3 linked regions of the Bombyx mori genome follow. The protein of the gene in region 1 binds, or shares a complex with, the protein of each later gene. Links are inferred from orthologs where the notes say so. Each region holds a gene or a part of one and is shown in the gene's direction. Other genes may lie near its edges.

What was found.
Region 2: the proteins of origin recognition complex subunit 2 (region 1) and ORC5 are in contact, whole or in part, in a crystal structure (PDB 4XGC), measured with the Drosophila melanogaster proteins. The link is inferred for Bombyx mori from reciprocal best matches to the Drosophila melanogaster genes Orc2 and Orc5. Residues at the interface, in NP_731873.1 of Drosophila melanogaster: Asp438, Arg443, His468, Asn470, Thr471, Pro472, Leu473, Leu474, Trp475, Asp476, Gln477, Leu480, Trp487, Ser521, Ser524, Glu564; in NP_477132.1 of Drosophila melanogaster: Lys169, Ile382, Cys401, Asn402, Leu404, Ser405, Ile407, Ser408, Thr409, His412, Asn424, Ile425, Met426, Glu427.
Region 3: the proteins of origin recognition complex subunit 2 (region 1) and origin recognition complex subunit 3 are in contact, whole or in part, in a cryo-EM structure (PDB 7JK6), measured with the Drosophila melanogaster proteins. The link is inferred for Bombyx mori from reciprocal best matches to the Drosophila melanogaster genes Orc2 and Orc3. Residues at the interface, in NP_731873.1 of Drosophila melanogaster: Ala331, Ile332, Lys342, Met344, Cys345, Ile346, Leu347, Asn348, Glu349, Phe351, Tyr356, Leu358, His369, Lys375, Thr377, Val378, Leu379, Val380, Val381, Asn382, Phe385, Asp392, Ser396, Asp400, Ile401, Leu402, Asp403, Asn410, His412, Glu413; in NP_476904.1 of Drosophila melanogaster: Gly10, Cys11, Phe12, Val13, Tyr14, Lys15, Asn16, Ala18, Thr19, Arg20, Ser38, Leu39, Leu40, Tyr50, Tyr53, Arg54, Asn106, Pro108, Arg135, Asp136, Ala142, Arg177, Arg180, Asp308, His312, Gln316, Lys319, Tyr320, Met323, Phe327.

Annotation. Positions count from the first base shown.
Region 1 is NC_085115.1:9,010,752-9,019,070, reverse strand, and holds the start of origin recognition complex subunit 2, read left to right. Parts: upstream 1-3,744; 5' UTR 3,745-4,153; coding exon 4,154-4,202; intron 4,203-4,317; coding exon 4,318-4,485; intron 4,486-4,783; coding exon 4,784-5,002; intron 5,003-5,853; coding exon 5,854-5,942; intron 5,943-6,406; coding exon 6,407-6,577; intron 6,578-6,744; coding exon 6,745-7,276; intron 7,277-7,701; coding exon 7,702-7,935; intron 7,936-8,319. UniProt on the Drosophila melanogaster protein: Component of the origin recognition complex (ORC) that binds origins of replication. DNA-binding is ATP-dependent, however specific DNA sequences that define origins of replication have not been identified so far.
Region 2 is NC_085126.1:11,150,070-11,157,420, reverse strand, and holds ORC5 (origin recognition complex subunit 5), read left to right. Parts: upstream 1-3,592; 5' UTR 3,593-3,664; coding exon 3,665-5,047; 3' UTR 5,048-5,103; downstream 5,104-7,351. Other genes in the region: cyclic AMP-regulated protein, read right to left, coding at 3,155-3,271, 5,353-5,482. UniProt on the Drosophila melanogaster protein: Component of the origin recognition complex (ORC) that binds origins of replication. DNA-binding is ATP-dependent, however specific DNA sequences that define origins of replication have not been identified so far.
Region 3 is NC_085128.1:8,981,325-8,989,677, forward strand, and holds the start of origin recognition complex subunit 3, read left to right. Parts: upstream 1-2,813; 5' UTR 2,814-3,326; coding exon 3,327-3,353; intron 3,354-3,446; coding exon 3,447-3,593; intron 3,594-4,230; exon of another isoform or gene 4,231-4,236; coding exon 4,237-4,415; intron 4,416-4,832; coding exon 4,833-4,935; intron 4,936-6,449; coding exon 6,450-6,667; intron 6,668-7,033; coding exon 7,034-7,181; intron 7,182-8,353.

The DNA of each region.
Region 1 (8,319 bases):
CGGTATTGTTAACATTGCTCGCCAGTGAGCAAATCGTTGAATAATCGCTGTATCCGGCTCGAAGGACCAGCTGTTGGGTACGCAGCACGTCACCCGTGTCGATAAGGCGAGTGACGCCAACCCAGGTTGGACGGGTTTATGAATCTTATAAGATTTCTTGAAATCCTATAAGACGCCGGATGCCCGTCTCGTGGCGATTATTCGTGTCGATCTGAAGCAGTCGATGTAGGGTCCTGAGGTGTACGATATCGTACAAGCTCACTCGAAATTAAAACTCAAAACTTTGCTACTGAACGTAAACCGAGCCGACCGATCTGTCAATACAACCGAATTCAATAACCGACGATCTTTTCAATGGTCTTCGAGTCTTCAATAAATATCTTCGAGGCGCTGATGTCTTTACTCGTGCGTTTTTTTGTAATCTTCGTTCGGAGGATCGGCGGCCGGCGGTTGGCAGGTAGTCGGTCGAGGGTCGGTCGGTAGGTCGGCAGGTAGTCGGTCGGCAAGTCGGCAGGTACCTGACAGCGTCGCAGGGTCGCTTAACTACCTCGGAATGTTACCCTACAGAGATCTCGTGTAAAATACGGCTCTCGTCGAGATCATTTTCACTATGATCGGCTCGGTTTATTCGTTATATCTATTTATTTAATAAATGTATATACTAATGCCTTATACTTAACTATTCTATGTTGTAATCCCTATCGATACATATAACTTATTCTATGCTTAATCTATATGACGCGCCCGTATAAACAAAATACCCGGTCCTGAACACAGATAAATGCTGTTTGTTACATCGTTTCGGGACGCGGGCCGGGCGCGTGTTCATTTAAGTTAATATGCTAATCTTAAAACTATCGGGAATAATAAAGCAAAAGTGTATACTATTTATTTCAAAGCAACTTACGTTCTATTCTTAGTAAAATCTATGTGCACGTTATCTATATACTTATCTATCTATATGCACTCTATATAATTTATCTATTTGTTATAACTCTATGTCTATGTACGTATCTATATAAATCTATTATTCTATTCTATATTCTATTATATTCTTCAACTTATTCTATAATTATGGGGCGACGCCGCTGTCGCCAACAATAATAATAATATATTATATATACTCAGCCTAATGATTTCCTATTTTGTTACTCTCTTTTCCATTTATACGTTACCACACAAAAGTAACAAAAAAAGAAGTAACAAATCAAGAACAACATGTCATTTTATTTGTAAACACATGCAACTCACACGATTACTCTTATTTCGATTTGATTAACGAAATCAAGAATGGGAGCTTTAATAGTAGGTTAAGTGAAATAACAATAAAATCTGCACTTATCTATGTTTTATGAGTAACAAAGGTGGAATTTTTTTCTGACCGCTAGCTTAAATATTGACTTTTACCGTTCGTACCGGCACCAGAAAGAACTAGTCGAAATTAAAACAAGACGGATGCCAAGCCGGCTAATGCTACCATTATTCTAAAATATAATTGCATTAATCGATTCTCATATTTCTTCAGAATTATGGTAACAAAAACTGGAGTTTCTAGGTGGAACTTTTTACGGGACAAGTTAAAATCATTAATTAGAAATTTAATTATAAATTAATGCTAAAAAGGATGTTTTAGGATGAATTGTGACTTATGGCTGTAAATAAATAATATTTTTTATTTATACAATGCCCATGTCCATTCAACTAAAGATCGATGGTTTGGTAAGATATTGAGATTGGGACACTGCACTTTTCATACAACTGGTTGAAGCTGATTTATGATATATATTTTTAATGAAAAAATCTCATTGTATTTATATCTGTTTTTTTCCTTTCGAATCAGTAGAGTAGTTATACTGCTTACACAATTTATAAAAAGTAGTAATGAACTAATATATTAGCCGGAACAAAATATTAAAAAATGGGACAGAGGCTAAAGTCTATTGTGCAATAATTTTGAGAAATGCTCATATATATTATAACTATGAGTATGTAGTATGTAGGTGTATTTTTACTGGTGGTAGGACTTCTTGTGAGTCCGCGCGAGTAGTTACCACCACCCTGCCTTTTTCTGCCGTGAAGCAGTAATGCGTTTCGGTTGGAAGGGTGGGGCAGCCGTTGTAACTATACTGAGATCTTAGAACTTATATCTCAAGGTGGGTGGCGCATTTACGTTGTAGATCCATGGGCTCCAGTAACCACTTAACACCAGGTGGGCTGTGACCTCGTCCACCCATCTAAACAATAAAAGAAAAAAATGTAGGTATTGTTTTTTTTTATTATTTACACCTGATGTACTATGAGTAAGGTAACAAAATCTCCCTATAATAATATGTGAGACTACCCTCTATGCTTCCGTTTGTGTTTGACGCATAATCGCTACGCGGCAGAAAAACATACATAAGTTAATAGATTAAACTTTGTTTAAATCCAGTACGACAGACGGTCTACCATCAGAAACAACTTATATTGACCTTACCTATTTCTATAATATATATAATAAACAGGTACCCTATTTACAGTGAATAAAGGTTCTCGACAAATCCTCGAGGTAGGACAATGAAGTACGGTATCGATAAAACGGGGTGATTAGGGACAAATTCAAACTTTGAACAATTTTAAGGTAGTTGTTGATGTATTTAATGCTATATCAGGGTCAAAATGATTGAGTCTTGGGGGTATCTTTGTTATCCAATTTAAAACTGCAATTAACATTCCAGCTTAAACAAAAAAAGCAAAAATAATTGATTACCCGTATTTACCGGAAGTTGGAGTTAATGGGGACGAAATTAGTGTCAATAGAGAAATTTGCTAGGGCTGGCACTACCTGGTTTTAATTTATTTAGTTGCACCAACAAAGTGATCATAAATAAAAAACATTGAAAAACTGACAAAAGTACAGGCAGATATAACTTATAGGTGCAATAATATTAAGGGATCATATCTCTTATAAGGCTTTGCACTCTTTGATACGTACACGCGAGTCATATCTAAAAATAGAAAACAACACGTAACTGATAATATACATATTTGTCAAACAATAAAATAACACTGCATTGATAATTTTAAATAAAAGTTCTAGCATTGAGCGACGGTGACCACTTACCATCAGGTGGGCCGTATGCTCGTCTGCCTACAAAGGCAATAAAAAAAAAAAAAAAAAAACATCATGAATAAACCAGATTCTTACCAATACATTTAAAAAAGATTGTTATAACTACATAGACAATCCTACAAACCTGTACCTATTTATACTTTACTCACTCCCATTGAACTTATTTTCATCCCAATAGACCCCTCATTCGTTGTTATTTGTACCTGAGACGTCCCCATTATCCCCAAAAATAATAGATTTTTACATGTATTTCTATATTATCAAAAAACATTAAAACCAATAACAACATATGATCGCTCAAATACTGAATAACGTTTATAAATCACAGTCGTCTCCTATTATTATCAAATAAATAAAAGAGAGCAAAGTTTCTAGCACTAAAATAATGACCACTACAAGAAGTTAATTTGAAATGCGATTTTTTTAAAGTTAGCAGCTATTATCATGCATATTCAAAGTTGCTTGTGAACTTTCAACATTCTACTATTACACTACAAGAAAGGGAAGATTTTGCAACGAATATAAAACTAATATTGAGCGTCGAAAAATTTTCCTGGTTTTTTCCCCATTCACCTTTCAATCCCTAAAAATTCCATTTTAGGTATGACAAAATCTCAGTAAGCAACCACCATTTTACTCAGATTATATTTCATCCCATATCATCTCATCTCATTTCATTTAATTTCATCCCAGTTGATCAATGTCTCAAAATTTTCATTTTATTTCATGCCATTCCATGTTTCGTATTAATCAGCTTTATTTCATTTCATAATAACATATTTCATAAAAATATATATATATATAAAAGATTAGGCTGTATGGTGCCTTTCCATTTAAAAAAATAAAACTACTACTACTTTAAACAATGTCAAAAACATAACCTATATCTCTAATATATTAAGTGTATAATCTATGAACATAACGCAATGTTTGAAATCTAACTTGCTACTACTACAACTGTTTTAAAAAGTAACTAATAAATCTCAAATAAATTATTTGTTAAAGGAGTAAAGTAATTTAAGGGAAGTATTTGCCACAAGTATGTCAAGTGAACTCAAGGGTAAAGTATCCGACAGTGAAACAGAGACAGGTAAATTTTAATACAAATTTATCGCAGCTTTTTTTACTAATATTTTATTAAATTGCCTTAAGCATTATGGAGTTAAAATGAAGCCAATAGGAATAAATCTTTAATGTTTTTACAGTCGATTTGCCCGAAACCCCGTCTCGTCGAACAGGGAGAACTAGACAAAAACCGAAAAAATACAACGATTTTTTTGAATTGTCACCCTCTAAACGGAAACCCCGTAGAGTGAGTACTTCTAGTGAAGAAGACGAGATTATCGACGACTCTTGTCCACAGAAACCCAGAGGTACACTTTGAATGTACAGTTTATATCTAAATTTGAAATTAAACAACATAAAAATGAGAATGAGTAACTTTTCTTAAAGGCAAATTTTTTCCTAATGTATTTTTTGTAATATATATATCAAATTCTAAGTACATACTTAATTTTTAGTACATTTATAAAGAAAATAATTTAAAATGCTGAATATTTGGTTACACATACTTATTTTTATAGTTTAGTTTCACATTAATTATGTCTACAACTTGTGAAAATCAAGAAAATGCTATAATGGAATACATTTTTGCATTCTTGTAAATTTCAGCACTGTTTAGTGATGATGATGTGGAGGGTCAAGATATATTCAAATTTAAGGGTCGTCACACAAAGCATGATCTACAGAATGCAGTGAGATCAGCAATGATGAATTCACCCAAAGTAATACTCACACGTTTGAAAACTCCTAAAAAAGTAATAAATTTGCATAGCCCAATTAGAAAAGCAGCAGGTACTCCAAGACATGTTAGGGAAGTAATAAAAAAAAGTAAGTATTACTTAAATATATTACATAGTATATATTGAGGCTGAAAGCCAATTTAAAGTTTAAAATTTGGAAAAAATAACATGGCAATAAAACTTCATCAGCTAGTTGAATGGGGTAAACATAATTGAAGTTCTATTAAAAATGTGAAATTGTTGATGCTAATACCAAATAAAAAGAACATAATTACAAAGATAAATTTCACATAATATTATTTAACATTTGGTTTAAGTGGATTTCACCCATCAATATAATAGTACTATAGTAATATTTTTGAGTTTAATAATTTAAAGATACACAGCAAGTCCTAGAAATAGGGGTAAAGCTTAATATTGATTAATTTTTAAAACTTCCAACTTTTAAAATTGAACATTTCAGTTAATAATTGGTTTTATTGGGTTATAGATATTCATATGATCATTTCAAAATAGAATTTAGTTCTTAACATAAATACGTGTATAAAAGCAAGTTAAAACAAATACATTAGAAGTTGAAATAAATAATATTTGTTATACAGTTCTCTAGGAATAAAATGAACACTAGGATGTTTATTATATTCATATTAAGTACTGCAATTTTGGGAGTACTAACGTTAGGACAGAGTTTTCCTTTTTTGTATTATATGGCTTGAGCCTGTTTGGTAATTGTCTGGTAACAAGAGACCACCTACACACCAATGCCAATGACCTGACATGAGGTTGAAGTCTCAAAGATTTTGTAACAGTTGGCCCAAATTAAGAATGATCATAAATTGTAATGAGCCGGTAGTTTTTTTTCTTAGTAAATTTGTTGAAATACTCAATATACTGGAGTACACTCAAATGTTATCTACATACTACATACATCTCTTTCAGGAATCATTCAGGAAGTAGACAGTGATAGTTCTGGTGATTTTTCTGGAAGCAGCAGTGATTTTGTTCCAGATGAGAGTGAAAATGAGGAGGTAAACTGATAGTACTGAAGTTTTGTACTCCTTTTCCCACTTTAAATTGGGCCAGCTCTTATAATTCCTCTACGCCAGGATTTTTTATCCTCAGATCCTTGAGTTCTATGCCTCAATTGCATATTAATAAAAACAAAGATTGTAAATTGTTATTGTTTGACTGTTATTGTATGATGCTATTCCTTCATCATGGCCATGGGTTAAGTTTGTACATACATATATCATTAGATAATTGGTACCTGCTTACTACTTAGCACCACCCGATACAAATATACTGGGCGTCTTATTGTTTAGGATAGAATGACTGAAAAACTTTTTCTTTCTTTGAGTTTTCATGGTCATCAGACAACTGAGGTGTTATTTAACATGTGATTAAACTGTAACCATTACCATTTTAAATGATTACAACTCTCGAATGTCAAAGAAAATACTATATACTATTTTAATAAAAATATTTTCTGCAGCAATCTGATTCTTCATCATCATCATCAACATCAGTAGAAGATGAGAAACCTCAGAGGAAAGATTCAGTTAAAACACAAATCACCAGAAACAGGAACAATAAAATGAAAATTAAGGATTCAGAATACATCGTAAAACCTGACAACTATTTTATGATGAATTCTAGTAAAAAAGTTAGTATGTTTATTTCTTCATACCAATTGAATTATTGAATTATCAGCATACAATATTGTATTGATTTCATGTTGATGCTTTATTTTTATTCGAGCTCAATTTTTAATTGATTTTCATTTGAACTTACTTTGATATTGTCTAAATAAAGAAATTTATAATATTACAGATAGCCACATCAGATCACACTCTTGCTAGATTGAAAAACATGAATATTCAAGATAATTCTCCAGATACTGTACATATATCAACAGAACACAGGAAAAAAATAGCAGAGCTCAACTATAACCATCGACAGCTCTTTGACAGATGGCTGTATGAACTAAGTGAAAACTTTAGTATTATTTTATACGGCATAGGATCGAAACGAACTTTGCTCCAACAGTTTCAAGCTGAGAAGTTGAACAAGTTTCCGTGTATAATGGTAAATGGATTCTTTCCGAGTCTCACCATTAAGGATATCCTAGAAAGCATCGTCGTAGATCTACTAGGGAATACAACTGTACCGTCCAATATTGGCAGCGTTGTAAAATTGATTGACAGTCAGCTGTCAGAAAATGGCGTGGACCTATTTCTGATAGTAAACAACATCGATGGACCTATGTTAAGAAATTCTAAATCACAAGTTACTTTGGCTAGTCTATCTCAGATAAAGAATGTGCACACCATTGCAACGATCGATCATATTAATGCCCCGTTACGTAAGTACCTTACTTTTTTTTCTTAAACGCTCAATTTTAGCATGAGAAAGTACTTGATTAAAATATGCATTTAAGTTAACTTTTGCAAGTGATTATTAATCTAAAAACTTAATTTAGTTTTTGAAGTTATTTGTTTTTTTCCTACCTACGCTGATGATCTAGAGAGGCCATATCATTGTCACCGGTCTAGTAGGTGAGCTCACGGGGCTCTAACCTGACGACGTTACTAACACTAACCCTAGCAAGAGCTGTGCTTCGCAGAATCTGCTATCAGATCGGAAACGCAAACCACTGAGAAGATCCGGCGAGTGGGCCGTGTCTGTGGGCTAATATACTCGCCGAGCCCTTCGTCGCAAGCGTTGAAGTTATATAAAAAGCGCTACACCACGTAAACGATTAATTAAGCAGAATAATTCAATTTTCAGTATGGGACTATTCTAAATTGAGTAAATACAACTTTTCATGGTGGGATGTAACTTCGTTTGTTCCTTATACTGAAGAAACTTCCTTCGAGAATTCTATAATGACACACAAAAGTGGCGCCCTACAATTATCATCACTCAGGAGCGTTTATCAGTCATTAACATCGAATTCAAAAGGGATTTTCACTATCCTTATTGAACATCAATTAGCAAATCAAAAGCAAGCCCATTATCAAGGTAAGCCTTGTAAATACTATTTATGACTATGTATTATTATATAAAACAAAAATAGGCTTTCCGCTAAAGTGCCATTTCTGACGTGATGTGTCACGACATGATATAAATGGCAGTAGCAAGAAAAGGCAAGACCATTGGATAAGAACCAACAAAACAATTAAGATAAAATATGAAAATAAAAAAAATAGTATATCGTATTTGTTTTGACAATTTGACTATTTGGTGGTAGGACCACTTGTGAGTCTGCACGGTTAGGTACCACCGCCCTGCCTATTTCTGCCGTGAACCAGTTATGCGTTTCGGTTTGAAGGATGGGGCAGCCTTTGTAACTATCGCGACCGAGGACGTCTCACCTTCCGAGCGACACAGGTGCTCACGGGACAC
Region 2 (7,351 bases), on another chromosome or scaffold:
GAGAAACAACAAATTAGGTACAATTTATAGTTTTTTATAAATCTATTTTATAGTAAGCATAATAATTAACTTTATTGGTTATTTTATGAATAAAACCATCCTGACACTCTAACGCTGGCATGCGTGCGACAGTAGATGATGTCCAGAGACCGCGTCGCTAAGGATACAGAAACACGTACTTTGAATGTCGATAAGTATAGTACGTCGATGAAAATAATATTGTTTAATATCTCAAAATCTAATATTAAAAGGCATTTGAAAGAAGAAAATGTGTCAAGTTACGCGATCCCGCGCCACGTACACGGCCGCTCTGATTATAACCCGAAGTTTCAAAGGGCTCAATCAGCACGCAATGTACAGCATCGATTTTGATAATATTGTTTTAAGTCAGTCAAAATGTTCATTGGTTCATGTTATTGACTATGTCAGTAGCCGGTAGTAGGGAGGCCCGACCTGACACATATCGGTCGGGAAGCTGGCATGCCTTCCGGGCTGGAAGACCTCATGCCTCAAGGTAACGGCCCAACTGGCGTTAAGTGATCACCAGTGATCACCGGAGCTCACCACAGCCCGAGTTCCATAGCGACGTTGAAACCAGTTCGTACCCTCAATTTAGCATCGGTATGATTTTTTGTATGACACAGCGATATAGCGCATAGATATACAGTAATGCCCCTTATAACACGGTACCCTTATAATGTATTTTCATATAACGCGATTTCAGTCCCTAGTATAACACGGGCATTCCCCCATATAACGCTGGGATTTGTAACGTTATATTTCTGTACTGTGAAATTTAATATCTGTACAGTTCATAATGAATTTGGCGTACCTTTGCACATTGTGTCAATTGTGTTGTTATAAAAATAAATTAAATTAATTTATTCAATTTTTGTTCCTAGTTTTTGAATTGTAAAAACATTGGCATTATTGTATTATATATGTACATATATATTTTTTGTATATAACGCGTTATATGGGGTCATACAAAAGCGTTTTTTGTGAATACTACAACGCGTTTCCTATAACGCGGAACCAATCTACCGTGTAATAGGGGGAATTACTGTAAATATAAAAAAAAAAAGGTCTGTAGCGAAGTGTCGCTGCCAGCAACGCGAACCAACGAGCTTCTTAAGAAAATAGAGAGTACTAAACAAAAATCAGATTTTTTTTATTATTTTTTTATAATTATTATCCATTATATTTATTTAGGTACAAACATAATTTTGTTCTAAACGACCTTCCAAAATGAGCGATGTGGGGTGATAATATTTTAACATTAATAATTTTTGTATGCATTTGATCCGCATTGAAAAAGCGCCTTAAAATAAAACGAATAAGCAATATTAAGTAATTTAATTAATGTACAATAAAACTGTTGTTTGTAAAATTGTTACCATCTCGTTCAACTTATACAAAATGTAATGTTGTACTATATTAATGTATTTGTAAGTGAAAATAGCGTGGGAAGTATTTTAATGCTTATCTAGAATACAGGGTTTTGTGTATCCTTCAACTATTTGAGTCGACTATTATCAAAGCCGGCAATGTGACTTTTGGACAATTATTGGTAAATCAGAAAAACGAATTATTGACTTTGTATTCCATTGGCAGCCACAAAACTCTTCTGAACGAGATCTTAGATAAATAACAGGTTAAGTATTAACCTTTATTTAATGCAGGTTTTGAACCGTATTCTTTGAAGGAGACGATTATATTCAAATCAATCTGTATTGACATATCAATAACATTTTCTTGTTCAAATGCACAGATTGCCACCTTTGATAATAGACGACTCATTTGTTGTTCAAATCTGAAAAATAATTCACTTGCTGATTCATTGCCTTAATGTGATGAATTAAATAAAAAATCTGTTGTTTTTCAATTAAAGACCATGAATATATTTAGTAGCCAAATTAAAAGGCAGATTTTTTTTTTTAGTAATAAGTAAATAAATGTGTTCCATCAGAACCAAGTCGCAGTGTCACCTTATATTTTTATTAAGGAACTATGTGGTATTACCGATCACTATTCTAACATTTTATTCTTTTTTTTTTGCAAAATAAAAAACTTAATATTTGGGTAGCCATTGTTGTTTTATTCCGTATGATATGACCTAGGATACGCGTAGATCCGCTGAGAGGTACTTATCATCGGCAAATATCTTACTGTTAATGTATAGTATAAATGAGGTCCGTCAGCGCAAAAGTGGTCTAAGCTTACCATAGTTATTATGGAGATATTGAGATTTGAATTTATCTTTACAATACTTCGCCAGCCAAAAAATACGTCCAAAAATAATGTTTACAAAGGCATCTGTTATCTGTGTGAAACTTGGGCGATTTTGCATCAAAATTTATTATGTATTAAATAAATTGCAATACATAAAGACGAATATGAATTGTGGGTTAAGGCACTTTTGCGCTGACCGCCTCAAATATCTTATAAACTTCCTAGTGAAATGATGATGGTCGTTGAAAATACTGACTTTGCGAACATGAGTTGAATCTACGAAAATGGATGGGTATTTAACAGATTCCTCTTCTGGTAGAAATATTTATTACCAAAGTAACATTCCGTTAGTCTTCAATAATTTGAAAAACATCGCAAGCAAACGAAAACGCCGACACTCAAAGTTTCTGACACACCGGAATGAAACAAAAAATATATTGGAAATCATGGTTTTATTGATATCAATTTACATTACTAGTCAATGTATAAAAAGCTTGTTTACATTAAATTCAATTTAGTATTAAAGATTTTTAAAAATTTTAAGTAAAAAATAAATGCGTTCACCGCGCTTACTAAAATGCACGACAGATTATCTACTTTTTATTTGGTAAATCCTTATTAAAACTACACTGAAGAATATTATATAACATGTGTATTTTTGAAAAATAAATAATGAATTTCTATACGTGATTAAAAATGTGATCAATTTGACACAAGATAATAAAAATGACTAATGAATTATTGCTCGACTACAAAAATGGCCAAGCCACGGCCCCAATTAAAATATAAGTCCTAAAATCCACTTGTAAAATATTTTTATGTATAATATTGTATCTTTGCACTCATTATTTATATAATAGAATGAAAGAGACAATATTCGTTTAAAATTCCATGTGGCAAGTGCGGGGCAAACATTTTCTATTCATAAATCTCTAACGCCAGTGCCGTAGTTCGCTCCCCCTGCCCTATTGAGTGCATCCTTGAATTGGTCGATGTCTATCTCAGACTGATTTTCAAGTTGCAACTCCACAGCAAAGTTCTGAAACATAATAAAAACTAGTTAATTGAGAACTAGCATTGAAATTGAAAGGTGAGTGAAACTAGACCTTCCTAATTTCAAATTATTTTTTTATATATTTGTGTCTGTCAATATCTGTCTGATAATAATAAAATATTAATAAAACAAGGTTCTAATAATTAATTTTAAATCCAAATGAATTACGAATAAAACGAATTAAAGTAGGTATCTTTTTTGATTCTCAATATTCGTCGTACTAAGCCGGCACTTTATTTGAAGCACAGACTATCAAATGAAATTTACAAAGTTCAAAGTTGTCAAAATTGGAATGTGCGCAAAAATGTCAAACCTGAACATACGTTATAGAATTGAATTAACACAAAAGCTTACGTAAATAAAATAAATTATATTAAAATGGATGAAATATACAGTAAAGTTGTGTGCAGAGAGAATCAGTTAAACGATTTGTTCAATTTATTCGGAGATGACAACGAACCATTGCCGTGTTCTATTTTTATAAGTGGAAGTATGGCAACCGGCAAAACGTTATGCTTACAAACTGTTCTCAATTATTTAAGTTATAAACATGTATTTGTCGACTGTATCGAGTGTTATTCGTCAAAGATAATGTTCGAGAACATATTGTCTGCCCTCAACGATGAAGACGAGGACGTGAAATGTGAAAATTTCATGGATTTTATAAACTGTTTGAACCGGCTTCAAAATAATTATGAACCAATAGTAATTGTATTCGATAGAGTCGAGAGACTACGCAACATGGATCAGAACCTCTTGCCAGTGCTACTAAAGCTTAGAGAATTTTGTAAATTGAACATCTGCACGATATTGGTGACGCATTTGATATTCGAAAATTTTAATTTCAAATTCGGTGTACGAGAGCCCATAAAACTCTACTTCCCTAACTATAACAAAGAAGAGTTATTCAGGATAATATTTCTCTACCAAAAATCATTTGTACAGCATTTGCTGAACCATTTTGACATAGAAGATGAAACAACAGAACTAATTGAAAAACCAGAGTTATTTGCAAACTTCTTGAATGCATTCTTGAGTGTATTCTATAGGCCATGTCGAGACCTTATTGAATTAAAGCATATGGCACGCCTAAACTTCATCAAATACTGTGAACCAATCATAAAAGGTGAAATACAATCAAATGATCTAACTAAATTGTGGAGACACATCTCACCAATCTTGAAAACAAGCCTAGAACTTTTATACTTAAGAATTAGTGATATGAGGCAATTCAAACCTTCACCGGGTAAAGAAAACAGTGAAAGCTTATATGCCAAAGAATTCTGTCTGGAGAAAACGTTAAAAGATGAACTTTCTTCTACAAAAACATTTGCACAAAGCTTCGAACTACCATACTTTGCGAAATACTTACTAATTGCAGCATATTTGGCTAGCTACAATCCGCCCAAAGAAGACAAGAGATTGTTTATGAAGAACCACGGGAAACAACGTAAACAAATGAGACAAATCAAAGCAAAGGCTAAAATTAATGAAAAATTAAGTACACAGCTCGGTCCTAAAGTTTTTACTTTAGATCGATTGTTGGCAATATTCTATGCTATCTTAGAAGATAAGATCGGTTTAACCAGCAATCTGTTGGCACAAATAGCGACATTAGTTGAGCTAAAATTGATAGCGGGAAGCAAAGAGATAGATTTAGATACAGCAAAATATAAATGTATTGTTGGCTATGATTTCATTTCAGCCATTGCTCAGACTGTCGGTTTTAACATTAGAAAATATTTGTATGATTTTATTTGATGTATTGCTGTCAAGTTGCGATACATATTTCTCTAATAAACATTTTTCTGAAACAATTTGATTTTTAGTACTTATATGGGTAAATGAGCTCATGGTCCATGGTTCCAACCAATTTGAAAAATGAGGTCAAAGTCCAATCCGTATTATTAAAATAGCTGGCACATCCTGCAATTCGGAACAATTTTTTTGATAATTTTTTTTTCAATTTCGTGATTAATTTAGGGAGATGTTTAGGATTGAACAAAAAGAAGCTGTAAGCACGCGGGGGAAGAACTTATCCAAAAATAAAATGGGCTTATACGAACCGATATGATGTCCTTGATGATAGCTTTGTCGGTGGACATCTTGGCTCGGTTGATCACAGACACGTTCGGTCCTACCCACGTCATGAACATAAATTTCTTGCGTTTAGACATCTCGTCTCCCATCTGCAACCTTCAGTCCAAAAAATTTATTAAAACAAATATGTGTAATGCAACACACATCTGTTGGACTACGCGAGCCAAGACTTAATTAGAACTCTTTTTACCGATTTATCACGCGGTTTTTGTATTTCTTATTAACCACGTCTCCAATTATTTATAGTTTCCGATCACTCGGCGCCTCAATCATTATTAATAATCACTTTGGTGCTGAGCTTAATTTTACATATTTTTCAAAAAAAGCTAAGGAATTCAGAAAGAAATTACCCACAAAAAAATTTAAATAACTTAAAAATACAAAAATTCATTCACGAAGCAGCTACTGTCGAGTGGTTAGGTCTCCTTTGGAGGCGCTCGGGTAGCTGTTAGTAAATCCCACCCCTCTTGGCTGAGCGCGTGCTCGCCCACCTGTCCTGGTGAAACTGGAAAGGCCTCCGGGCCACCAGTAATCCCTCAAAAAAAGAATCCCAGCTTGGGGTTGGGTGGTAGATGTGTCGCATGTGTCCCTGGTATTATTCATCTGGTCGTGAAAGTTTGTTGGAGGTTTGAGAATTTTTTTTTTTTTTTTTTTTATTGCCCTTGTAGGCAGACGAGCATACGGCCCACCTGATGGTGAGTGGTTACCGTCGCCCATGGACTTCAGCAATGCCAGGGGCAGAGCCAAGCCGCTGCCTATCGCTTAATACTCTCCACAAGCCTCTTTTAAAGAAGGACATGTCATAGCGCTCGGGAAACACCGTGGAGGGGAGCTCATTCCATAGCCGGATGGTACGTGGCAGAAAAGACCTCTGGAAACGCACTGTCGATGACCGCAGTGGCTCCAGGTAGTATGGATGAACTCTACTCCGGTGGCGGGCGGTGCGATGGTAAAAACGAGATGCCGGTATCATCTCGAACAATTCCTCAGAGCACTCCCCATGGAACATTCGGTACAAACTACAGAGGGAACCGAAGTCCCTCCGCAGACCCAAAGGTTCCAAACGATCCGCGAGAATGGGATTATCGACGATTCGAACGGCCCTCCTCTGTATGGAGTCAAATGGAAGAAGCTGGTATTTGGGAGCCCCGGCCCAGAGATGGGAACAGTACTCCACGCGAGGCCGGACTTGTGCTTTATAAAGCAAAAGTCTTTGTCCAGGCGTGAAATACCGCTTCGCTCTGTTGAGGACTCCCAGCATTTTGGACGCCAACTTGGCTTTGCCTTCCAAATGACTCCGAAATTGGACATCACTCGAAATGTCGACCCCAAGTATCCCGATGCTCGCGGAAGGTTGCAGGGATACTCCTTGGAATTGCGGCGCCATGACAAAGGGGTCCTTCTTCGCAGTGAACGCGCAAACTTGTGTCTTCAACGGGTTGAATTGAACTAAGTTCGATTCACCCCACTCGGAGACTCGCCCCAGAGAGTTCTCCACTTCAGACACAAGTTTTGATCGTCTCTCTTGCACCACGCTCCGAGAAAGACTCTGATGGCCGATATATCGCGCATCCCCCGTGCTGTCATCCGCATAGCAATGCATGCCATCAATAGACAGCATGTCATTGATATACAGGATGAAAAGCGTGGGGGAGAGCACCGAACCTTGTGGAACGCCAGCATTAATGGTCATGGTATCAGAACAATCACCGTCCACAACGACCGTGATGCTCCGCCCATCCAGAAAGCTAGCGATCCACTTGCAGAGACCCTCGGGGATTCCGTAAGATGGAAGCTTCGACAGAAGCGCCTTATGCCAGACCCTGTCGAAGGCCTTCGCGATATCAAGGCTCACAGCAAGAGCCTCGCCCTTGCTCTCCAAGGCTTCAGCCCACCTGTGAGTAAGGTATACAAGAAGATCGCCAGCTGAACGACCGTGACGGAAACCGTACTGTCGGTCACTGA
Region 3 (8,353 bases), on another chromosome or scaffold:
AGATTATATTTCATCCCATATCATCTCATATCATTTCATTTAATTTCATCCCAGCTGATTAGTCTCAAATTAATCACCTTCATTTCATTTCACTCCATATTATAATTTTTCACAAAAATATCCCATCTCATATCATCACATTTTATTTCATTTCATGTCATATTTCATATTAATCAAGTTCATTCCATTTCACAATATCATATTGTACAAAAAAAATATATAGAAAAGATTAGGATGTATGGTATGATACCTTTGTCTTTCCATTTGGAAAAATAAATTTACTACTATGAAATCTCCATGGAGTTAATAAGTACCTACAACTGGAGTGCTGTCTAATGCCGAGAAATCGGTCTCGAAAGAGAATACTTTTTGGTCGCGGTGTCCTTGTCTAATGTGGTGACCATATAAAATTTATTTATAGGACAAAATTATACACATGCATCAGTTTTGAATTTACCTTATATTAAGTTATATATTATATTATATTATATTATATTATATTATATTATATTACGTTTATATTAAGTCTACTAGTTACATTTTAATAAATAAAACACAATGGGTAATAAAATGAAATGAACTGAAATTAATTTATTTGTTATATGTAGACAATTAAATAACTCTTAAATGACAAGTCAATACACATAACACAATACACATAGTACTTGATCTCTATTTACAAAATATTGGTTATATTATTATTATTAAGTTCAGTTAATTTTCTGTAGTCTTATTAGCCAGATATTGTTTCTTTTTATTTGTGTTTTTTATGTATCTTTAGCTTGTGATGTGTATTGTGAGCCTAATAAAATAAATAAATAATATAACATTTCCCCTATTTTATGTAAATTCTTTTTTTTTCAACGAAATAAATAATTTATTTTAGTCAATATCTAAGTGGACCATGAGTATCATTAAAATTTCGCAATTTAAATTTCAATTCAATTAAAAATCGCCATTTTTCTTTAATAAATCTAAAATCGACTTTATATTTACAATCACTATTTCGCGACTTTTAAGTTTTTGTTTCAAAACCTTAACATCTTGTCGTAATTTTGCTTTTCTCGGGGCATTTTTTATTTCTTGCGTTTGAGTACTTGATTCCTCTTGTTTGACCTTTATATAGGACATTTTCCAGAAATTCCAACGTCATATTTACTAGAAGATCCTCCTCGTTCGCTTGACGTCAGGCAAATGATATACATGCTTGCGTGCGACGCTATTCAATACAATAAACAAAGTCAAAAAAATACCACGTGATTCCTCTTATAATATGAAAAATACATTGCAAAATTATAGTTTTTCACGATTGTTTTTTCAAATTTAATATATGACATAGATTAAGTACAATTTACAAGACAAATGGTATTAAATATTATTATGAGAAAAAATATCTAACATTTTAAAAATATATACTCACACTAGTAAAAATTTATCAATGAATCTGATATATGGAAGGATATTCCACAAACTGGAGAGGATTCTCGCTTAAAACCACTTACAATACAAGTGTTCGCCATGATTACACGGAAACTTTCACGATTTTCGGAAAAAAACAAGCCACAAGCTGTATCAGTGCCCTTTTAACTTCGAACTACAAACGTAAATAGACGCCATTTTTCTTTTAATCCATTCATAGCTCTTTTTCGGTGATGCCAACAATTAATCTGGCTTCCCATGAAAACCATCAGAAATCTACTTACCTACCATTAAATTTTCCATTAAACAGAGTTCTTATTAATATAGAACAATATTTTTTTTGTTAATGAGCTTTATTAATATATGATGTTCTAATAAAAATCAATATATATCATATAATCAATACTTCTTATATAATTTATTTTAATAAATTGTCATCATCAGCAACTAATTTCACCATGACTTTGTACGTTTCTTTTGAACCAATTTAATTTTTGACGTTGATGGAAATTCTAAATTCTCGCAGCATTTTCTAGTTAAGTTTAAGTCACATCGTTTAAATAATATGTATTTAGATATATTATTGTCATAAAATGTTTAAAATCCTGTAAAGTGGATTGATTTTAACCTTTTCGATAATTTTCAACAACGCCCTAAAGGATAAGACGTCCGGTGCATTCGTATGAAGCGATGCACCGGTGTTCGAATCCCGCAGGCGGGTACCAATTTTTCTAATGAAATACGCACTCAACAAATGTTAACGATTGACTTCCACGGTGAAGGAATAACATCGTGTAATAAAAATTAAACCCGCAAAATTATAATTTGCGTAATTACTGGTGGTAGGACCTCTTGGGAGTCCACACGGGTAGGTACCACCACCCCACCTATTTCCGCCGTGAAGCAGTAATGCGTTTCGGTTCGAAGGGTGGGGTAGCCGTTGTAGCTGTACTGAGACCTTAGAACTTGTATCTCGAGGTGGGTGGCGCATTTACGTTGTAGATGTCTATGGGTTCCGGTAGCCACTTGACATCAGGTGGGCTGTGAGCTCGTCCACCTATCTAAGCAATAAAAAAAAAGCCCAAGCTACTACTGATACTACTGATAACTAAGACAGGGGTCCAAATTACGAGATTTTGTGGAAAATCCTCTAAGCTAGCAACACTGCTTTTTGTTTGTAAAATGTGCGAGAGGGACACCACCACTTAATAGTCATTCTCTTTTCAGACCGTTTTTCCTTACATCTTTTGCTATTTAAAAATAAACTTTAAGCCATAGAGATAAAGTATATTTTTAGTTTTTATGTCAAACGAAGTAAGCACTCCAGTTAGAATAGTAACTCTATGGAAATCTCAAATAAATTATATGTTTAATCTATGACTGAAATTAAAAAGGTTAAACCAGACTTTTTGGCGGGAACGCGAGGAGTGCAGTTGTGTGATTTGTTTTATTTTGTCTATTTAGTGTTTCTTCGGGTTTAAATGTGTAATAATGGTGGTTTATTAACTGTTTAATATCTGTGAAAGTGCACAAATGTGGGAAAATGAAACAAAGCTGCTGGACGTAACTTCTCGGGTTCCTCCAAAAAGTCCACTGAAAAAATCTCAGTAAATGACCACCATTTTACTGCGATTATATTTCATCCCATATCATCTCATTAAATTTCATCCCAGTTGATTAATGTCTCAAATCAATCATCTTCATTTCATTTCACTCCATATTATCATTTTTCATAAAATAAGATTATAAATTAAAATAAGACATGACTTAAAGGTCTTAGTTACCAGGTCATAAAATCTTTTAAAAAAAAAAAGGTTAAACCAGGTTAAACATTGTTTTTTTCGGTTTTGTACTACAGTTTAATATTCTATGAAGAAAGATTATTATAGAATTAAGAACGGAATTCAATGGAATCCACTGTGTCAGTTTCAAAGGTAAAGTATTTTTTTTATTTACTGCTTAAAAGTAATGAAATATTACTGTTTGAGAGATAGAATAATTAATTTTAATTGTTTTTCAAATTACAGGGAGTGTTTTTATTTCCAAATGGATTTCAAAACTCGAAAACTCTTTCAAAGAAAAAAACAAATTTATTGTTTTGTAAATTATTTCAAGAAGAGTGTTGGTATCTTACTTATAGAAAAAATTGGGAAGCTATTAAAACTAAATTAAATGTAAGTTGAATTCAGAAAATACTGAAAAGCTGTTCGGTCATACAGCCATGAAAAAAAACTTTGTCTTGTAAAAACTTATACAGTTATGTCTTAAGCTTCAATTAAGAGCTACTAAAGATAACTATAATTCAGGAGACTACTAAATATTGTTATTTCCATATTTAAAAAAAATCATACAACTCTTTTGTGTCTTTTATTGTAGCCTTTTCATAGATTTTTAATTTGATGTAAAGCAAAAATTGGAGTAGTAGTAAATTGTGGTAGTTACTATTTTCAAATGTGTCCTGAATACATCTAAACCATCAAAACCCTAGCAGCAGATTGAACTCAGGTCACTTTATACCTATAGTAACCTACCCAACTTATAGTATCACCTTAATGAGCTTCTCATCCATTGTTGTTGCCATAAATGTTACTTTCTATAAGTAATTGTTTATACTATGTGTACCTGGCCTTAGTTGTTTTGATTTTGCTCCAGTGATTTTATTACTTGGATATTTTAACTTTCAATTCCAACAATAGTTGGATAATTCAGAATATTGAATAAGGCTTGTGCATTGATTTTTTTATATTAAGTGCTGCTTATTCTTACATGAATAAGGAATAAAACATTTTTCAACATGTATGTGTATATCTTTTAAAGGAACTCAATCAAAGGTCTTACAGTGTGCTGTTGAATGATATAGTAAATTATATAAAGCAGTTTTATGGAAGTGAAGAAGCATTTATGTTGGAAGGAATAATTCCTAGCGCAACACTACTAACTGGGGTTAGTCAGCCTGATCATGTATCACAATTTGATGCACTCATAAATATAATAAAGTAAGTGGTGCCAACTATAATAATTGCATGTAGCCAAATGAGCAAATATTAATAGCTGTAATATATTAAGACTAAAAGTATATAGTATGATAAAATGAAATATGGAGATAAAAATGAATGAAATAAAATTCAGGATACAGTTATTTGAAAATTCAAATTGATGATAAATTACAATTGCATTTATTACCACACCATGTTTATTTATTTGCTTTTAATATCATATGCCTACAGATTAAGCATAGCAAAGTTTCATTGTCTACTACACATTTACTTAATTTTAGGACTGAAAGAAAAATTAAAGAAATAGCCTAAATAAGACTTGCTCAATCCCGAACCATAAACCTCATAAACTGGTAGTCATAATCAGTTCATTCCGGAATGCAAGGGACTGTTTATTAACTTTAAAAATTCTTACAGAGATGAAATAAGTCCTCATGTGGCAATAGTTAATTCACAAGATTCGTTATCATTAAAACATATAGTTGAGAACATGGTTTGGCAGTTGATTGGGAATGATTTAGTAAGTGATGTCAATCTATTTAGAAATGTTTTTGTAACACCAATATATTTTACTAGTTGTATTGTGACTTCTATGAGATATGTAAGTGGCTTACAGGCTAACAACAGAGAGACAACTCTTTCATCACAGTGCTTGGTATCAAAGTACTGGATCGAGATACTGCCAAGTTGACATTTAAAATGTTGGTAGTTCTGAATAGAACCAAGAAGCACACCTGCATACAGACCTATGTCATATAAATCCCATGTTCATCTCACATGAATTACATAGCAGCTACTTTCATTTGACTCATTACATAAGGTCATTTGTTTTTATAAATGGTTTGAATCATCAGGATCTATGAAAGCTCTTTAGCTCTCTGTTTATCGTATGATTCATAGGGAGTGCTCTGAGGATTTTTTGTTTTTATCGCCTGTAGGCGCAAAAGCATACAGCTGGTGAGTGATTACCGTCATTCATAGACATCAGCACTGCCAGGACAGAGTTTGCTAGAGGCAGCCACTCCCTACAAGTTTGAGATGATCTGGTCATCTTTATGCCATCATACTGCCGTGACTGGAGCAGAGCTCTCCTATATTATCTAGAATCACTGCGTTTATCCCTAGTGCGTTTCCAATGATATTTTTCGGCACTTACCGTACAGCTTTGGAATGAAATTGTCTACACAATAATTCCTGATTACTATGACATGCTCTTCTTCGAGTGAAGTTTAAGGAAAGGACTCGGCAGTAGTTGTGCCTTTGACATTGCTAAAGTTCGCGAGCGACGCGGCGACGGCGACAAAAGCAATAAAAAAAGAAACTGAATAATTTAATTTTTCTCCTACCTATGCCGAAAGTTCGGTTTTCTTCCCGCTGTACATGGAAGAAATAGTAACTTTTCCTCCCTGGGTACAAGTGCGCATGCGCGTTAGTGTCTACGTCTGCTCTCACGCACCTATAATTCTCCGTCATTGTTGTGCTCGGGTAATTTGCAATATTGTGTTTAGTGTAAAAGTGAAGTAAACTAAAGGCAATAAAATATAATAGTGAAGTATTAAACAAAGATGAATTCATCAGACAGTTCTTATTCAATTAGTAGTACTTTATTTAAAAATTAAAAAACAGTTAAATTGTTTTGTTATGAGTATGAGGGGGCTCCGCCCCCCTTACCTCCTGCCAGGGCTTCGCCTCTGGACCCCGGCTCGGTACTCCACGAACTTTCGGCCTGGTAGGAGAAAAAATAGTATGTGCACCGCGGGAAAAAAGTAGGGCATCTCATCCCGCGTGTTTGCCTCTTTTCTTCATTGTATTTGTTTTGTATTAAAATTTGTATATGAAATCTTTACATTTTTTTTAGTTTTATAATTTTCTATTCTAATGTTTATTACAAATAAAGTTTCGTAAATTATTAATAAGAGTCAAAGTAACTGCGACCCGCCAAAAAAAATTAAAATTTGAATTGGACCATTGATTAAAAACGTTGCTCACCCTTGTTATAATGTAATGTTTACTGTTATTTGTTTCTGTTTGCAGAAAAATGACGAAGAATGCGATGTATTATCAACAAAACATAAATTAAAAAAGAGTCAATGTACAATGAAAACCCTGAAAACGTGGTACCATTCAAAATATACAAATGAATCTACTAATAAGAAGAAAAAATCAATTTCGACAAAGACATTAGTAATAGTAATACCTGATTTTGAAAGCTTTAATTGTCACTTGTTACAAGATTTTGTAATGATAATAAGGTAAAAGTATTTTTACTAACTTCATATATATCAAATTCATGTAATGGAAACTAAAAATTGAAATCAATATTTAAATCTACATCATTACTCACAGTAGTAGATTATTATGATAGTAGTATAGTATAGTAATAGTTATAGATACAATTAAATTAAGAGTTCGATCGCATGTATAGTGGCGTCAGTCACTTAATTTCATAAGAAATATAGTAAGATTAGTAAGCTATCTGCTGTAAAATAAGAAAAATATATAATTACAATAGTAGAAATATGTCAAAAAAAGTATTACAATTTCTACTGGTAATAAATATAGTTTTAAATGAATGTCTAATATAGTATAATATAAAATAGTTACTCAATTTATTTCAGTTCGTACATATCTTCCTTGCCCATAGTGCTTGTTTTTGGGGTGGCAACATCTGTTTCGGCATTGCACAAGTCTTTCCCATATGAGGTGTCATCGAAACTTTTAATAAAAGTTTTTCATTCACATTCGTCTGCGGTTTATATGAATCAGGTTAGTTTGTTGCTTCTCTTCTTTCTTTAGATAATAATCTAAGAAGGAACTGGAACATATTTTTTTGGCAGTGTTAACTAATAAACATGGGTGGATAGTTATAGAAATTTTAGACGTTATAGAAGGAACAGATGTTAAGCATTGCCTGCTTGCTTGTTTTGAAATGAAAAGTGCAAGCGATGATACACATTCAGCTTTTAAAATAGAAAATAATACTCAAATGGATTCTCGGACCCGATTTTAATATAAATTGAACAGGCGTGATCAGTTTTTTATTTGAATGTTAACCATGTTATTTGTTTAGCTGGAAATTATTTTTACTTTGCCATAAATGTCTAAAGGTTAATCTAATGAATAAAAATATTTTTTTTCATTACACGCAGCTAATGGAACATTGTGAGGTATTTGATTTACGTGGGATATAAAGGTGGCTTTGTCTATGTATATTGGCACCTATCAATGTTCTGGCTTGGACAAAATCTCCCAACTGGAATAAGAAACGGAACATCTCAATCTTGCCAGACTATAATTCGCCACCTGTTATCCGTTGATGGTACTACGTCACGAATCTTTATTGAAGTATCGAAAGATCTTATGATTTTTATGTACTTCAAAAACGGAGTATAATGTTTATATTCGAATATTCACAGAATACAAAAATGTTATTTGTCAAAATTTCTAGTGCTGGTCACGACGAAAGATCACTGTGAATTTAACTCCATTTATATATTTATATTAAAAATATTGATCACTTGTACGACTGAGTATCACTTGGGAACGGTTCGACCAATTAGGTTGAATTAATTTTGTTTGTATTCGCAATGTAACGCAATTAGTGTGAGGTGAGCGTTGAAAGAAAATATATATAGGACTATCGATAGACACAGCGGAAGAGCATAAGACATCAATAGTGATTTAAAAAAAAATTATTTACGCACGCTTAGTTTTCTGTTTCACACGAGAAAGTAACAATGACGTCAGTCTCCGATTTGAAACGTTAATGTAGTTCCCACAGGACAAATCCAGTTTTGTACAATTATGTATGTAAAAAAATGTATTTATCGAATTGTATTGTTTCAAAGTACTTACTTTTAATTGTTAATTATTATACATTACTTATTATACAATGGGTGCATATATTATAATAAATAAAATCAGCTAACCCCAAGAAA